Linked DNA regions of Coturnix japonica. The protein of the gene in region 1 interacts with the protein of each later gene in a pairwise test. Links are inferred from orthologs where the notes say so. Each region holds a gene or a part of one and is shown in the gene's direction. Other genes may lie near its edges.

Region 1 (3,511 bases):
AGCAACAGCAGTGGGAGCAGCCATGTGGGGAGAGCCAAGATGGGGCATAGGGATGAGACCCCCAGCAATGGACCCCCAGCTCTATGCCCCATCCCTGCCACTCCACTGGGTGTTGTGCTGCATCACCTGCTGTCCCCTGCTGTCACCGTGGGGCTGCTCACCCCCTTCCCATCAGCCAGGAGTCGGGAGCAGAGTGCACCCCGATGCGGATTGATGGGCTCTTCTCTCCTTTCAGGGTCGCCATGGCAACTGCATCCTCCCAGGTTCTAATTCCTGAAATTAATCTCAATGACGCCTTTGAAAACTTCGCCTTGGATTTTTCCAGAGAGAAGAAACTGCTGGAGGGTTTGGATTATCTCACTGGTGAGCACACAGGCACATAACCCCTGCTCTGCCCCCCAGCACTGCCTCCTTCTCCCCACTGAGCGCTGATGGGGGGGATATTAAACCAGGTCAATAGTGGGCCATAGTAGGACAGAGGCCACCGGGTTGTCCCCAAGGCAGTGATGTGTTCCCATCATCCTGTTGGCACCTCAGGAGTTCAGAAAGTGGGGAAAAAATGTTGCTCTCCACCAGTGAGGGAGGAGGTGATGACCTCGGGGTGGGCAGGGGGACAGCCAAGGAGACATGGGAATAAACTGCTTACTGTGCCATGCTGGGGCTGGAGAGCCAGGGGGAGGACTGGGGGCTGTGGAGAAGTGAGGATGTTGTTACTCAGTGACTTGTAAATGAGGCTCTGCTCCCTGCGTGAGCCCCATAAAGAGCAAATAAAGCCCAACAATGAGGAAACATCAGTTTGTTGAATTCATTCCCTGCAGCACCGAACCCTCCGTCTGTGCGTGAGGAGCTCTGCACCGCCTCCCATGACACCATCACAGTCCACTGGACATCAGATGATGAGTTCAGCGTGGTCTCTTATGAGCTGCAGTACACCATCTTCACTGGACAAGCCAACTTCATCAGTAAGTCACTGCTTATTGAGCAGCCCCCAACCCAAAAGTAGACACTGCAGAAGTGGGGATGCAGATCTCATGTTCTATGGGAGGGCAGGGCCTGGTGCATCAGCTGGGGGCTCAGATGGGGAGCAGCAGGAGATGCCTGGGGGCTGGGCTTTGTGGTTTAATTTCCTCCCTTCCTACAGTGATCAGAATGGACTCTCAGCTCTTTAGCACCAGGTGATTGCCATGGCAGAGGGAGGTGGTGGAAAGGGCAGGGCTTAGAGCTGTGATGGCCCAGCAGCCCCCAAGGATGGGAATGGCACATCTGCACTCTCCATCGAGTCTTCCTCATCACTCACTGTCAGAAAATGTTATTTAAAAGCCAAACACAGGAGCTGGTTTGGTTGCACTTGGAGGAAAGGGACATATGTGGGGTAGAAGAGTGGCTCGGTCAGAAAGCCAAGGACTGTTTGGCATGATTTCATGTTATGCAACCTTATTCCTGAGATATGAGGGGGTTTGCATGGATGTGTTAATGGGAGCACAAAAGTACATCTTTCAGTCTGTCCATCTTGGAGCGGTGCCTTCAGGAGAGCAGGATGGCCATGCACTGCTGTTCTGCTCCTGGTTGTACCTTGGGACTCTCAGGGCTGGAGGATGTGTTCCCCAGATGCTTTGCATGGACTTTTTGGGCTTCCATTAGCTTATCTAACCCCACAGGGAGACGAAGGCTGGGGAAGGCTGTGAAGTGCCCCGTGCTGCATGCAGGAAGCTGCTGCAGCCAGGTCCTGCTGGCTGCTCCCAGAGCTGATAAATGTGTATCCCCACAGCCAGGAGTGGAAAATGCTGATTGATTTCCTCTTGGCCGGGGGTTACCCAGTCCTACAGCATCCAGATGTCCCCACCCTGCTGCCCTGTGCTCCTACAAACACCTTTTCTCCAATGTTTTGCTCTTCTCTCAGAGCTTGGTGAGGATTATAGGCATCCCCAGCCTCCATCCCCACCCCAGCTGAGGAAGGACCATGGACTGTTTTGAGCCATTAAGGGGCTGAGAAGCACTTTGCCCCACTCTTGGCATGGAGCAGGGCTGGATCAGAGCCCACTAAGGGATCAACCCCTTGGGATGGACAGTGTGAGCCCCGAGCCCTGTGCTCAGTTCCTGAGGGTGGGATGGGCTTTGGAAGAGGTGGGAATGACACGCTGTGGCAAGGAAAGCCCAAAGGGGCAGGTGTCTGCAGTAGCTTCCTTGGCCTCCTTTACTCGCTCTACGAAGAAGGAGGAAAGAAAACATCAGTTAACACCTCGGAGCAGAAAATGAATAATATATTGTCACTTGCAATAACATGTTCAGGACCGGGAGACGGAAAAGTCTGAGTTCTGCAGGAACCCATGCGTGAAGAGGTGATGAAAATAGCACACAGGGCTCACCAAGCAGAGCACCAGTGTGCTCCCAGCAAGGCACGTACCTGCTCATGGCACACAGCTGCTCGTGCACAGCTTCCCCTGCCCGCTGCCTTTACATCTGAGTGCTTGGCAGGACGCAAGTGTTTTGTATAGATGACAAACGCTGAGATAAAAAGGATGTGTTCCAGCTTTGGCAAGGAGAGGAGCCCTCAGCCCTCAAGGCCAAGCCTTTCTTGGTGGCTTTGAAAAGGACACCCGCTTTGGAGGCTGAATTGCTCCATGATTGCCATCTCTCAGCTGCTCTGCCCTTTGCGGGGCCGGATCCCAAGGTGGCTCTTGGCTGCAGGGAGATAACAGCCACGGCAGCTCTGCCCGCGGGATACCGTCGCTATCATTGCTGTTGGATTTTCTACTTCAGATAACGTTGCTCTGCTCCCCTCGGCAGCTTCCATGTGTACTTCAGACCAAATCCTTGCTGACAATGACTGCAAGCTCTGGCTGAGCGAGCCACGGGGGAGGAATAATCCCAGTGCTGTCCCCACGTGAGCCTTGGAGGAGGAGGTGTGGAGTGTTTTCCCGGCTCCCGACGCACTGCTGTGCGCACACACATGGATGACAGGTTGCTGGAATCCCTCCTCCAGCAGCACGCCTTCCCAGCCCACTCCTCACGCGCCGTCTCACGCCTCGCCCCCAGACCTGCTGGATGCAGGGAGCATCCCCAGCTCCTACTGTTGAGCATCACTGATCCTCCTTATGCTGAAGGCAGCACTCCCGTGTTGCAGTATCAGCCCCAGAGCTGCTGATAGCCTGGATCATCTGTGGCTGCAGTGGATTCCATGGGGCATTGACACCCACAGCCCCTTGGTGCTAGCTCAGCTGTTGCCCCCAGAACTCGCAGCTCCCTTTGCCTTCAGAAGGTCATTCTCGCCCTGGGACCTGCTGCACACTACACTGCTTTTCTCCTTTCCTGTAGCACCGTGTCATGGAATCGCAGAATGGCTGAGGTTGGAAGGGACCTTAAACATCTGCTGTGGGTTGCAAGGTGGCACTCCATTATTAATACAGCACTATTTCAAGTGTTTTCAGTATATCTGCCAAACAAGCCCCTGCAGCATTAGGGCTTGGGGCCTCCGCAATCTCCTAATTCATTTCTATTCCCAGAAAGAGCC
Region 2 (4,064 bases), on another chromosome or scaffold:
ACTGGGAGCGGAGCAGGAGCTGGGCACAGAGCTCTAATTGTCATCGGGACATCAAGGCCAGGAACACCAGGAAGGACTTGCCTACCCCCAAGCACTGCTGCTGCAGGAGCACAAAGCCACCAGTGCCCGAGGCAGCGGGACAACTGCAGCACTGGGGTCTGGCTGCACGCACAGCAGAATCACAGGGACCCTGGAGCGGCCAAAAGCTCTGCCTGGGCCTGCTCAGTGGCAGCTCTTCTCCTGCCACAGCACCAGCAGGGTCAGGCTTACCCAGGAGCTGTTGTGCCCAGGGGACCCACCCTGCCAGCACAAGGGAATGCTGAGGTCAGTCCCCAGGAGCAGGTCTCACTGCCTGGCACCCCCGTGCTGATTTCCCGGAAGATAAAACCTCTTCCCTTCTTTTGGGGAGGCACCGCAGCGCTGCAGACGCGGTTGTGGTGGCTGGTGACCCAGTTTTTCCTGGCTTCAAGAGAAATCTTATCTCCTGTGGTTGGCTGCTACCGCGTGGGCAGCTGCTACGAGTTGGCGCTGGGCTGCTTTCCTGCGAAACCCAACTGGTGTGTGAAGGGCTCTGACGTGAGCAGCAACAGCTGGGGCAGGAAACCTGCCCGCTTCCATGTAGGGGCTGCTCCTGCGGGTAATTCCCTCTGCCCTGGGCCGGTGCTGCGGGAAAGTCCTGGCAGCCAGAGGGCGGGGGACAGCCCGGGGAGAGCCCTGCAGAGCGATGGTAACCGGTAAATTCAGCACCGAGGTACGCCGCGCATTCAGCACGATGGTAACCCGGGCATTCCAAGCACCGATGGGCAACCCGTTTCAGCACCGTGGTAACCCGTATTCAGCACCGATGTAACCCGGTATTCAGCACCGATGGTAACCCGGTATTCAGCACCGATGGTAACCCGGTATTCAGCACCGACACTGAGCGCAGCCTCCAGCCGCAGCCACACGAGCAGCAGGGGCAGGACTCGGCAGCCGGCCCCGGGAATCCCGGGCAGGGACCCGGCGCGGGCCGGGGCTACGTGCGGCCGGCTCCGCAGCACGTCACCACTCCCGAGCCCCGAAGCGATGAGCGGAGAGATCACAGCGGGGCCGATCTGAGCCCTGAGGGGAACCGAGCCCTGAGGGGAACCGCCGCTGCACCGCGACCGGACCGGGCCGAAACCAGCTCCACATCCGGCCACAGGAGCCGGAAATGACCTCCACGCTGAGCGTCACTTCCGGCGGCTTGCGACGGTTCGGCGCGCGTTCACTTCCGGTACGCCGGCGGAAGCGGGAGTTGCAGTTCCGGGTGAGCGGTCGGTCTGTCGGTCTGTCGGTCGGTCGGTGCTGTGAGCGGCTGCGGTTCGTCCCGTCCCGTCCCGCCGCCATGTCGGCCCCCAGCGCTCTCGTGAAGCAGCCGCCCATCCAGTCCACGGCGGGCGCCGTGCCCGTCCGCAATGAGAAGGGTGAGTGCGGGGCGCCGGGAGGGGCGGGGGGCGCGGGCACGGCGGCGGCGTGAATGTTCATGGCATGAATGCACATGGCTGCCCATGGCGCCCTGCTCATGGCCCGGCTGCCCATGGCTGCCCATGGCTGCTCACGGCTGTTCATGGCCCGGCTGCCCATGGCGCCCTGCTCATGGCCCGGCTGCTCATGGCTTCCCGCTGCTGTTCCTCCCGCTGCTGTTCCCCCCCCTCCCGCAGGCGAGCTGTCTATGGAGAAGGTGAAGGTGAAGCGGTACGTGTCGGGGAAGCGGCCCGACTACGCGCCCATGGAATCCTCGGAGGAGGAGGACGAGGAGTTCCAGTTCATCAAGAAGGCGAAGGAGCAGGAGGTGGAGCCCGAGGAGCAGGAGGAGGAGGTCGCCAACGACCCGCGGCTGCGGCGGCTGCAGAACCGCATCACTGAGGACGTGGAGGAGCGGTGAGTGCTCGGCTCCGGGCTCTGCTCCCTCCTCGTGCTCCCCCCCAGCTTTGTGTTTCCGGGCTCCTGAGCACGCAGGGGATGCCTCTTTCCTTCACACGCTTCGTGGTCCCGGGTCTGACTACGGTCTCATTAGAAACAGATCGCAAAGATTTCTCTTCTTTAGTCTCCTTGTGTTCAGAGCTTCGTAGTCGAGTGGACATTTGTTGCAGGCTGGCAAGACACCGCAAAATTGTGGAGCCTGAAGTGGTCGGAGAGAGTGATTCTGAGGTAGAAGGTGAAGCGTGGCGTGTGGAGAGAGAGGACACCAGTGAAGAGGAAGAGGAAGAGATCGATGATGAGGTTCGTTATATTGCTGAGCAGATGTGGCCTGGGAAAGTCCCCTTAGGCCCTGTCTGGAATTCGTGCTTGCAGACACACGTGAACTGTGGTGAGACTGGGTGGATGTTGGGACCTGAGTTAAAGCCAGCTGTGGTGTGACCACAGCCTGTGGGTTATGGGGCACCAGGGAGGTCACCTGCGTTCTGAGGTGTGGGCTTATATAAGCAGTCAACATCATATCATATAAGCTCAACATCATGCTTTTTATATGGAAAAAGGAAGGAAGCGATAGTGGGGCTGGTTGGCTGAGTCTGTGTTTGATGTGTCTCCATTAGGAGATCGAGCGTCGGCGTGGGATGATGCGTCAGAGAGCGCAGGAGAGAAAAACTGAGGAGCTGGAAGTGATGGAGCTGGAAGATGAGGGCAGATCTGGAGAAGAGTCTGAGTCAGAGTCTGAGTACGAGGAGTACACAGACAGCGAGGATGAAATGGAGCCACGTCTCAAACCTGTCTTCATCCGCAAGTAGGTGATAAGGTGATACAGCTGCATGGGCCAAGCACTGCATCAGGGATGGGCAGTGACTGACCTGGTAGGGCATGGCTGGGTACTTCCAACTGGGGACTTTAGGCAGGTACAGCACAACAGAAACCAGGTAGTGTGCTCCAACATGTTCCACAGCCAGTAGCAGGGTCTCCCATCACCTTTGTGCATGTCTGCAGATGTGAGGAGACTGAGTATGGTCGCTCTTGAATGAGCAAAATCAGAAAGGAGAGAGCCTTGGGACTTGGCCCTGCCGTGGGGGGCATAAAGACTAAAAGAGGCTGCAGTGGGAGCAGAGGTCTGCAGTGGCATGTTGAAAGGCTGAAGGCTTTTGTGGTCCCTGCTCACAGGAAGGACCGGATCACAGTTCAGGAGCGAGAAGCAGAAGCCTTGAAGCAGAAGGAGCTAGAACAGGAGGCAAAGAGATTAGCAGAAGAGAGGCGCAAGTACACACTCAAGGTACAGCGGGGCAGACTGGGGCATGCATGTTGGGGCAGCCATTGCAGTGAGCTGAGCTTGGTCTTGGCTTCAGATCGTGGAAGAGGAGGCAAAGAAGGAGCTGGAAGAGAATAAGCGCTCGTTGGCAGCACTTGATGCTCTCGATACAGACGATGAGAATGATGAGGAGGAGTACGAGGCTTGGAAAGTACGTGAGCTGAAGCGCATCAAACGGGATCGTGAAGAACGAGAAGCGTAAGTACTGTCTGCTTAAGGCAGGGGAGGGTCCCTGCAGTCCCAGGCCCTGCAGGACAGCGGGCAGTTGAGGCGTCTCTTTCTCAGTCTTTGTTTTGGCAGCATCAGGAATTTTCTTGAGGTGCTTTACTCCATTATGGAGTCAGTCAACGTATTCGTCAGAAAGTCCCGGGTGGCAGCAGCTGTCCCATCTTGGGAGGGCACTGAGGGATGCAGGGGCTCAGGGTTTCTCTTTTGCCCAGCATGGAGAAAGAGAAGGCAGAGATCGAGCGGATGAGGAACCTGACAGAGGAGGAGCGCCGTGCCGAGCTGCGAGCCAACGGCAAAGTCATCACCAACAAGGCAGTGAAGGGCAAATACAAGTTCCTGCAGAAGTACTACCACCGTGGCGCCTTCTTCATGGTGAGTTCTGCTGCCAGGCCTGGGGCTGCGTGGACCACGTGGCTGTTTTGGGGGAGTTTTCCCTAGTGGTACCCAAGTAAGGGCTGGCCAAGCACACAGGACCAGAGCTGGCCCTCAACAGCAGCGTGCTGCTGAAGTGACTGAGGGGATCTGAGGTGCCTGTCAGGTCTGGCAGGCAGGGTGAGTAAAGACACGAATGCAGTTC
Region 3 (3,973 bases), on another chromosome or scaffold:
AAAAAGCCGTCTGAGGGCATTTCCACAGCAGCCGTGAAATGGATCCAGGTTTGGGGAAGACCCACCAGGACAGGGCATGGCGTTGACTGTCACAGCTCTTGGACCAGCATCTTCTGAATGGGATCTGTGTGCTTCCTCTTAAACAACAGAGCGTGGTGAGCAAAAACCCAACGGGTGGGTGTTACAGCCCCCCCTGAGTGATGAAACACCCTGGAGGCAAAGGCAGAGGAGAAGCCCTGATGGTAGACATGAGCAGACAAGCAGCTGATGGCGCCGCCTGCTCCCCAGAGCTGCCTGTCATTGGTAGGGCAGTGTCATGTAACGGGGAATTCTCAGTGAGGCTGGGAAACCAGCCAGTGTTTCCCCTTGGAAATGCCTGCCTCCAATTATTCATAGTGGTAATGAACTTTAACTGCCTGAGCTGCTGATCGCAGCACCCAGCAGCCACCTCAGGCTGCTCTGCTCTCCCCCCACATGATTGCACGCCCCCAGAAGCCCAGATGGAGTCTGCCTGACCCACTGGGATGGAGCAGCTCAGTGCTGTCCATAGGGAAGTCACCTGTGGCTGATTTTAACCTCCATAATAAAAGCCAAGTGCATCCCTGGCTTTGCCTTGGTCATTTGTTTCTCAATGAAGCATCTCTCACACCACTAATGGTCCCCACCTGTACTATATATCTTCCTCCTGCTTAAAACAGACAGAGCTGGCAGCCTCTCCCCAGCTTGCTGGTTCATAATGAGCACAGGGTGATGTTTGCCTGAAAGTAATTTCCCTGATACAAGTCAGGGCTGTAACCAAAATGAAGACTTCTACCTGCAGAGTCTCACCACTGAGGCAGGGGCATTTCACATGCAGTAGCCTGCAGATGGATCTTGCATGTAAGGGCTGAGGAAGGTGGAGGTTGCCCTTGGCAAACATAGAGGGTGAAATGTCCAGACCTGGAGGTCACTGCCAGCTGTGGGTGGGGGACCTTTGGGAGTAAAGGGTTCATCACAAGGCACCACCCCAGCCCATAGGGCAGCAGAACCCTTCTGGCAGCCCAAGACACAGCATGGGGTGCGGAGCAGGCAGGGCACACATGCACTCTGCAGTCCCTTCCATGAGGATGTGGGGTATCACACTGCTTTGGTCTCCATATAACTGCCTGAACGTCCTCCAACTGCCTTGGAACCTGTTCCATGCCAACCAACCACCAACAGTCAGCAGCAACAGGCACAGCCAGGGCACAGAATGCCCTAAGAAAGCAGAAGCAGGAGGCTCTCAGGGCTCCTATCCTTGCTGAGTGTTTCTCCTATGCACTGCTGAGCCCGTGGGCTTACAGGGCAGCTCCTGGGGTGAAGGGGCAGCAGCTGCACCAGGATTTGAGCTCTCTGGGCCGTGCTGATGGCTGAAGCAATGGCCACCGTGGACAATGAGGACCTGTCAGACTATTTCAGCATGCAGTACAGGCAGAATCTGCTGCCCTTGCTCAAGTAGGGAGTTCCTCCAGCCCGTCCATCCACTTCTGTTTCCCCCACCCCTGCAAGCTCACATCCCTTATCTCCCCCACTCATCTCCTTACCTCCACCACTCCAACCTCTCCTTTCATCTCCCCTCCTCAGCCCTGCAATCCCTCCTTGCTGTCTCCATGGGATCCCCTCTGGGGAGCAATCCACCCTGGTTCTCGGAGACTCTTTGCTGTTGGACCAGCTCTGAGACAGGTCCTGAGTGGGCAATGGGGCACAGCAAACCAACACCCTGCCAAGGTGCTGAGCCCAGTCGGTCACCACAATGAATGCTTCTGTGGCAGGAAACTCAAACTGACCGAGGAGGACTCTCTGTCTCCATTTATTCGCCTCCAGGAGAAGAAGAAAGAAGCCCAAGAGATGCAAAGGATTCTGGAGGAGAAGGAAGAGGTGAGAAGGGTGGAAGGGCACTGGTCACTGCTGGGGTGGCTTTTTGGAGGGTGGCAGTGCATTTGTGGCTGGCTGCATCACAGACAGCTGAGCTGTGTCCCCTGTGTGCTGCCAGGACTTCAGGGTGAGGATTGAGAACCTCACCTGCAGGTGGAAGGAGTTGTGGGCTAAGGAGGCCAAGCTGAAGGCTCACATGAAGAAATCTGAGAGGACCCTAAAGGTACAGCTGCCCCTCCTCCATCCATCCAGCACAACACTGAGATACAAAGCCAATTCCTCCCCTTCCCTGGGAAGAAGGACTGTGGGCACCCCTCTCTGCATGGATCCCCTTTAAGCCCTAAGGGCAGCTCGGGACTTTGTGCCAGATATGCAAAGCCCTGGCAGGGCTTGTGCAGCACGCAGCTCATCCTGCACCACTGTGACCCCTGAGGGCCCCAGGCAACCCCCAGGAGGGGCTCATACTGTCCCCACTGATTGATAGCAGTAGGTCTGAAAAGCAAAGTGCCTCCCAGGGTCTCGTCTCCAAGACCAGAGTGTTGGTGTTAATGAGATGGTCCCATTAAGCAGGGATGGAATGTGTTCCCAGGGAAAGATAACTCCTTACAGCGTTGCTGAATGACATAACTCCTTCTTCTCTCGCTTTCCTTTCCCTGTGTGCATGTTTATGTGCATGTATTTATGGGGAACACTGCTAGGACAATGATAAAATGCGAATCCAAGCTCTAAAGAAAGCTGGCAAAGAAAGGGAGTTGATGATACAGAAAGAGAATGAGCTGCTGAGTGCTAGGAAGGAACTGGAAGAGCTGAAAAATAAGCACCAGAAACTCAGTGTTGGGGTGCAGAATTACTCCATCTTTGGAACATACCTGGAGGATGTGGTGAAGATCTCACAGGTGAGTGTGGGAAGCAGTTCATGGCCACAGGGAGGGCCTTACATGGGCATTAAACATGGAAAAGAAAAGATATATTCAGGAAAATCATAGCATTTGGTCAAGCCCAGAGACCTCAGATGGGATGGGAAGAGGTTCCCTGTAAGTAGGGTGAACCAAAGGGACCAGAGTTAAAGGAAGAGAACCAGAAAAGGAGGGGAAGACTTGGGAAAACTAAAGGAAAACTATTTAAAGGGGGTAAAGGCACAGAGATGAGTGGAATGGGGAAAACTTTGAGTCACTGTTTCGTGTCACATTGATGGTGTGGGAGGAGTGTTGTCTAGGGATGGGAACCCAAGCTGTATCCTTTCAAGGAAGCCCGGGCATCATTCCATGCATCACTCATTCTCCTGGGATGCCAGCTGGCCCCTTCCCAGCTCCAGGTAGATCAGTGCAGGCAGTTGCATTTGTGCTTTGTTTTATTGGAGTGCTGCTCCTTTGTAGTAGAGGTGTGATGTCTCACCTTGCTTATGGCACCTCTGGGAACAGCCCAACTGGAAATTACCAGGGATGGGGCATTGCTCTCATCCCAACTTGGCTGGCAGTCCATCAACAAGGGAAGACACTCCAGCTGGGGCAGGTGCTGCACCTCATGAACAGTGCAAGACTTTCCATTATAATGGGGGGGGTGGGATTACTAACCCCGCTGTGCTGCAGTTTGAGGAGATCCAGGCCATCATGTGGCGCTACAGGATGTTGGTGAGGATGCGCAAAGCCCTTCTGCAAGCAGAACGTGGGCTCAGGGAGGCAAAAGAGCAAGCTGAGGAATTCAGCCAGTGTGCTGAAGATGGGAGCCTGCAGTACAAGGACGACCTGGATCAGCTTGAACTGCGTTATCAGCAGGCTACCAAGGATATTCTCACCTGGGTGAGGAAAGATGGGACAAGCAGGGGAAGATCTCCCAGGCCTGGAATGAGTTGAGTCTTATCAGGCAGAGATGGAGGGTGGGAGGGTAGCAGTGGGATTCCCAGCTCCCAGGGAGCACAGATGGGGTGAGACCCATCAGAGCGAGGGCTGCAGGAGCCAGCGGAGAGATGGAGAATCTTCTGGGGGTAACAAACAACTATGGTGGTATCTGGATCAGCTTATATCACACCAAGCTGGACCACCTCCAGCAAGCACGTGGTCCTCACAGCAAAACAGATGAC
Region 4 (4,190 bases), on another chromosome or scaffold:
GCCCTTTGCTTCCTACTGTGTCTTTGGCCAGTATCCCTTAGCTTCATGTGGGATAAAGCTGAAGAAAAGTAGTTCAGCCCCTAGCACTTACTGCCAGGTTACACAGCTCTGGAAATGAAAATGGCTATTTATTTTGGAAAAACATTTCTGTACCATATCTCTTTTCATGGGCTGCAGGTAGGGGTCAGCTGCAAATGGAGAGTAATTAAGGCCCAGATGAGGGTTATTTGTGTTGCCCCATGCAGTAGTGATTTTTATACAGGGTTCTGTTTCAGTATACACAATGTCAGGAAGCAGCTGGTAAAAAGCTGTGTACCTTGTGTGCAGTATCGCTTGCTAGAATAGCACGATACTTCTTCAGTGGGTTTTGGCTTCTTCTCCCAGGCAATAAACAGGACCTGAGAAAATGGCCACAAGTTGTGCTAGAAGAGGTTTAGATTAAACATAAGGAAAAACTTTTTCTCTCAAAGAGTGGTCAGGCACTGGAATGGCTGCCCAGGGAGGTGGTGGAGTTGCTGTCCCTGGCAGTGTTCAAGAGGCATCTGGATGAGGAGCTACAAGATATGGTTTAGTAGCTTGTTGTAGCAATGGTGATGGGAGGATAGTTGGACTAGGTGATCTTGCAGGTCCTTTCCAACCTTGTGATTCAGTGATGCTTAAACCAAGCATTTAGCTTTGATGTTTCAAAACATGATCAAATTTCTTGGAAATATATTTAAAGTTATACTTTGAAGAGTTTAACTTCATGTAGTTCTACTTTTGTTTTTCTGATTAAAACTTTTGGCTTTTCAAAGGGTCCACGCTTTGGAGCAGCCAGATCAGTGAACATCTGAATACGCTCTAAGAGTTGTCACACAGGACTGGCTGACTTGAACTGGAGGAGGGAAGATGATGTCCTTGGATGGACTGCAGAAGAATATCAGTAACCCGGTAACTCTTATGTCAACAACTCCTCCCCCAGGAAATGGAACTTTGCTCTTTAATGTCAGAAATTAGCAGGGCATTCCTATGGCTCAGAGTGTTACTGAGAGCTCTTGATGTTGCTTGGGTGTGTGAGGAAAATCCTCATAGGTGGCTGTAGTATTTCTCTACTTGTACTCTGCAGCAGTGGCCTTGCACTGGCATGAGAAATGGGCTGGAGCTCTACTTCTCATTGTTCTTTAAAAACAGTTCTTTTGAGCCTTCAGGAGATGGTTATTTGTCATACTTCTAGCACAGAATATTAAAAAAAAAGCAACACCACTAGGTCTGTATAGAATCTCTGTGGAATAAACAGTGCTACGTAACTGTACAGGACTTCCTTTTCTCTTGTAGTTCTGCACTGATACAGTCCAGTGCCCTCAAGTGCATCTGACTGTTCAGTTCCACTGCTTGTTTGTTGCTTGTGAAATGGATAGACTAATAGATGATGGGGAAATGGCTTTAGGTTTCTTCACAAGAATCCATCTGGGGGAAGAAGGAAGGATGTGTGGAGATGGAAATAGAGCTGTAAGGACTGAATTGCAAAAGGGAGATGTGAAGAGGATCAGTAAATGTACAGGTGACATTGTCTGTGTAAGGAGAAGAGGAGGAGTTCAGCAAAACTGGTTGACTGTAAGTGGTCTGGTGAATATGGTGGGTGACAAAACCAAGCTGGAGAACATAAAGGAGTATTATTGGGGCTTAGGCATCAAGAGCCTGGGGGAGAATAAGAGCAATTATTTGGAGACAGAGGTGTGAAAAGTTGTTCCAGGCTCCAGACAAAGTCTGCAAATTGGTCTTTGAGGCCTTTCAAACTGAGTTAGTGTTGGCTAGTTGGCTTCATGGGGAACTTCTGGAGGTTTGTGAGAGAGTTGGGATGGAATCAAGTAGTGGCACAAGCATTATTCTTAATAGATGAGTTAAAATTAGCACAGCTCTTGAGACGTGAAGAAATGACAAGCACATTCTGTAATGATGGTCATTAGGTCTGTAGTATTACGCCCAGGAAATGCTCTATTATGGCCATGCAGATTCCATGACTGAGCTTCTGGACAAGAGATGGCTGACTTTTTTCTCTATTAAATGTATCCTTGCTACAGTGTTAAATAACAGTGTATACAGTGTATAACAGTGTACACAGTATACAGTGTATAACAGTGTATACAGTGTATAAATAACTTTGACCCACTGGAGTATTCAAATCCCAGTGTTCCTGGGCTGTGTCTGTGTGTTTCTTATTGGTTCATCTCTGGAGACCGAACCAGTAACTTATACCCTGCTGTGATTCTCAAAGCTACTGCCCCTCAGGAGCAAGCAGTGTGTTTAAACTGCATGATGTGCAGAAAATATGCAGAATGTATTCTTTCTTACGTATTATTATTTGGATGAAATTGAGTGTCTTTTGTACAGCTTGTAGACTATGGAACTAAGCTCCTACACTACTGCTAGTAAGTAAATTGATTCAATCAGTTTATTTGTTATTTCACTTATACTGCCTAATTTTATGTTCTCATCCTCCTCTACTGCAGTTGGCTAAGCCAGTAAAATCCACAAGTCTTTAAACAGTTTGGTCAGTTTCAAGCTTATACTTGTGAAGTAGGTCTGTATTATCTCTAATGTAAAAGGTGACTGCAAAGAAAGGTGCAATATGTGGGTAGCTGAGAAGGGAAGGAAAGGGAGAAGATGGAAATGAACAACGCTCTGGATTTAGGAGATTTTTTTTTTGTCATTCCCATTCTGTGTAATCAGTGATAGAACTAGAGGGAATGGTTTTAAGCTGCGCCAGGGGAGATTCAGGCTGGACATTAGGAAGTATTACTTCTCGGAAAGGGTAGTCAGGCATTGGAATGCACTGCCCAGGGAGGTGGTGGAGTCACCAACCATGGGAGTATTCAAGAAACGTTTGGATGTTGTGTTGAGGGATATGATTTAGCCAGGAAGTATTGGTAATGGCTGGACTGGATGATCTTCTAGGTCTTTTCCAACCCTGATAATTCTGTGATTCTGTGATACTCTCCACCAGAGTTGCTGCTTTTCCAATCACAGTTTTTCAAAAAAGAGCAAGCAAAGAGACAGCAGCTGTAGTCTAGTGTTAAAAAACTGGTGCAAGATGCCTCCTGCAACCAGCAGTAGTTAGTCCTTGACAATGACCTAATTTGAAGGGGAATTCTATATTAAAAGTGGAGCAGTAAAATATTGCCATTATTCTTTAGAGAGCTAGGCATGAAGACTGTAAATGTTTAGCTTTAATCTTATCTGAGAAGGCTGATCTTCAGTGATGAAAATCTTGGTTTTTCCTTCTCTTCGTGGCAGATATTTAATGCTTTACTAGTGTTTCATTTAAATGGAATACTAGTTGTCTTTCTTTTAATGTGCTAGAGCATCACTTAATTATCAAAAATATTGTTTAAAAAACTATATATTTATTTTGCCTCTGTCACAAATGGTTATTTCTGTCTTTTTTCCCTCCTTCTTCTAGGTCATTCCCTATGTCGGGACGATTCTTGGTGGCATTGTTCCTGGAGAGCTGATTGTGATACATGGGAATGTTCCTGATGATGCAGACAGGTAGTAACTACAGTATCACTTTGTGAATTAACATAAGGTGAACAAGCCTGTAATTAAGAAAATGTTTCCACGTGTCCTGTGATGGATGGCAGACAAAGACTTCATTTTTAGATGAAGCAATAGTGTCACAGAGGATACAACCTTAAGTGGTTTATGAAAGTTTTGTGATGAAAACTGGAGGATAAACTGGTTTTTTGCTTTCCATTGATCTTCTTCCATGGTTTTGCTTTGTCTGCTTTGGCATTATTTTTCTGTCATGTCATTCCACATGGCACATGCATATTTATCTGAAGAGGTTATCAGTTGAACTTGTATATGATTTCTTGACAGAATGAACTAAATGCGATTTGTTTTATTTTTATGTTTAGGTTCCAGGTGGATTTACAGTGTGGCAGCAGCATAAAGCCTCGAGCTGATGTGGCCTTTCATTTTAACCCTCGCTTCAAATGGTCTGGCTGCATTGTTTGCAACACCCTGGAGAGGGAAAAATGGGGCTGGGAAGAAATCACTTATGATATGCCTTTTGAAAAAGGAAAGCCATTTGAGATTGTCATCATGATTTTAAAGGATAAATTCCAGGTGAGTTTGGGTTAATTCTTGGTCCATTTGTTAGGCCAATAAAAGAGAGGGATTTAGCATACGCACAATATAATCAGAAGCCT

The links.
Region 2: the proteins of MID2 (region 1) and MFAP1 interact in binary tests that used the Homo sapiens proteins (3 or more experiments, as listed by UniProt). The two-hybrid records come from large-scale screens. The link is inferred for Coturnix japonica from reciprocal best matches to the Homo sapiens genes MID2 and MFAP1.
Region 3: the proteins of MID2 (region 1) and CCDC42 interact in binary tests that used the Homo sapiens proteins (3 or more experiments, as listed by UniProt). The two-hybrid records come from large-scale screens. The link is inferred for Coturnix japonica from reciprocal best matches to the Homo sapiens genes MID2 and CCDC42.
Region 4: the proteins of MID2 (region 1) and LGALS8 interact in binary tests that used the Homo sapiens proteins (3 or more experiments, as listed by UniProt). The two-hybrid records come from large-scale screens. The link is inferred for Coturnix japonica from reciprocal best matches to the Homo sapiens genes MID2 and LGALS8.

The regions. Positions count from the first base shown.
Region 1 is NC_029519.1:1,683,898-1,687,408, reverse strand, and holds part of MID2 (probable E3 ubiquitin-protein ligase MID2), read left to right. Parts: intron 1-235; coding exon 236-363; intron 364-818; coding exon 819-962; intron 963-3,511. UniProt on the Homo sapiens protein: E3 ubiquitin ligase that plays a role in microtubule stabilization. Mediates the 'Lys-48'-linked polyubiquitination of LRRK2 to drive its localization to microtubules and its proteasomal degradation in neurons.
Region 2 is NC_029525.1:18,263,731-18,267,794, forward strand, and holds the start of MFAP1 (microfibrillar-associated protein 1), read left to right. Parts: upstream 1-1,259; 5' UTR 1,260-1,366; coding exon 1,367-1,445; intron 1,446-1,682; coding exon 1,683-1,902; intron 1,903-2,114; coding exon 2,115-2,244; intron 2,245-2,558; coding exon 2,559-2,746; intron 2,747-3,114; coding exon 3,115-3,223; intron 3,224-3,296; coding exon 3,297-3,457; intron 3,458-3,699; coding exon 3,700-3,859; intron 3,860-4,064. UniProt on the Homo sapiens protein: Involved in pre-mRNA splicing as a component of the spliceosome.
Region 3 is NC_029533.1:1,626,702-1,630,674, forward strand, and holds the start of CCDC42 (coiled-coil domain-containing protein 42), read left to right. Parts: upstream 1-1,168; 5' UTR 1,169-1,384; coding exon 1,385-1,473; intron 1,474-1,790; coding exon 1,791-1,896; intron 1,897-2,011; coding exon 2,012-2,116; intron 2,117-2,591; coding exon 2,592-2,789; intron 2,790-3,482; coding exon 3,483-3,692; intron 3,693-3,973. UniProt on the Homo sapiens protein: Essential for male fertility. Required for sperm development.
Region 4 is NC_029518.1:33,917,058-33,921,247, reverse strand, and holds the start of LGALS8 (galectin-8), read left to right. Parts: upstream 1-1,385; 5' UTR 1,386-1,389; coding exon 1,390-1,593; intron 1,594-3,439; coding exon 3,440-3,528; intron 3,529-3,896; coding exon 3,897-4,107; intron 4,108-4,190.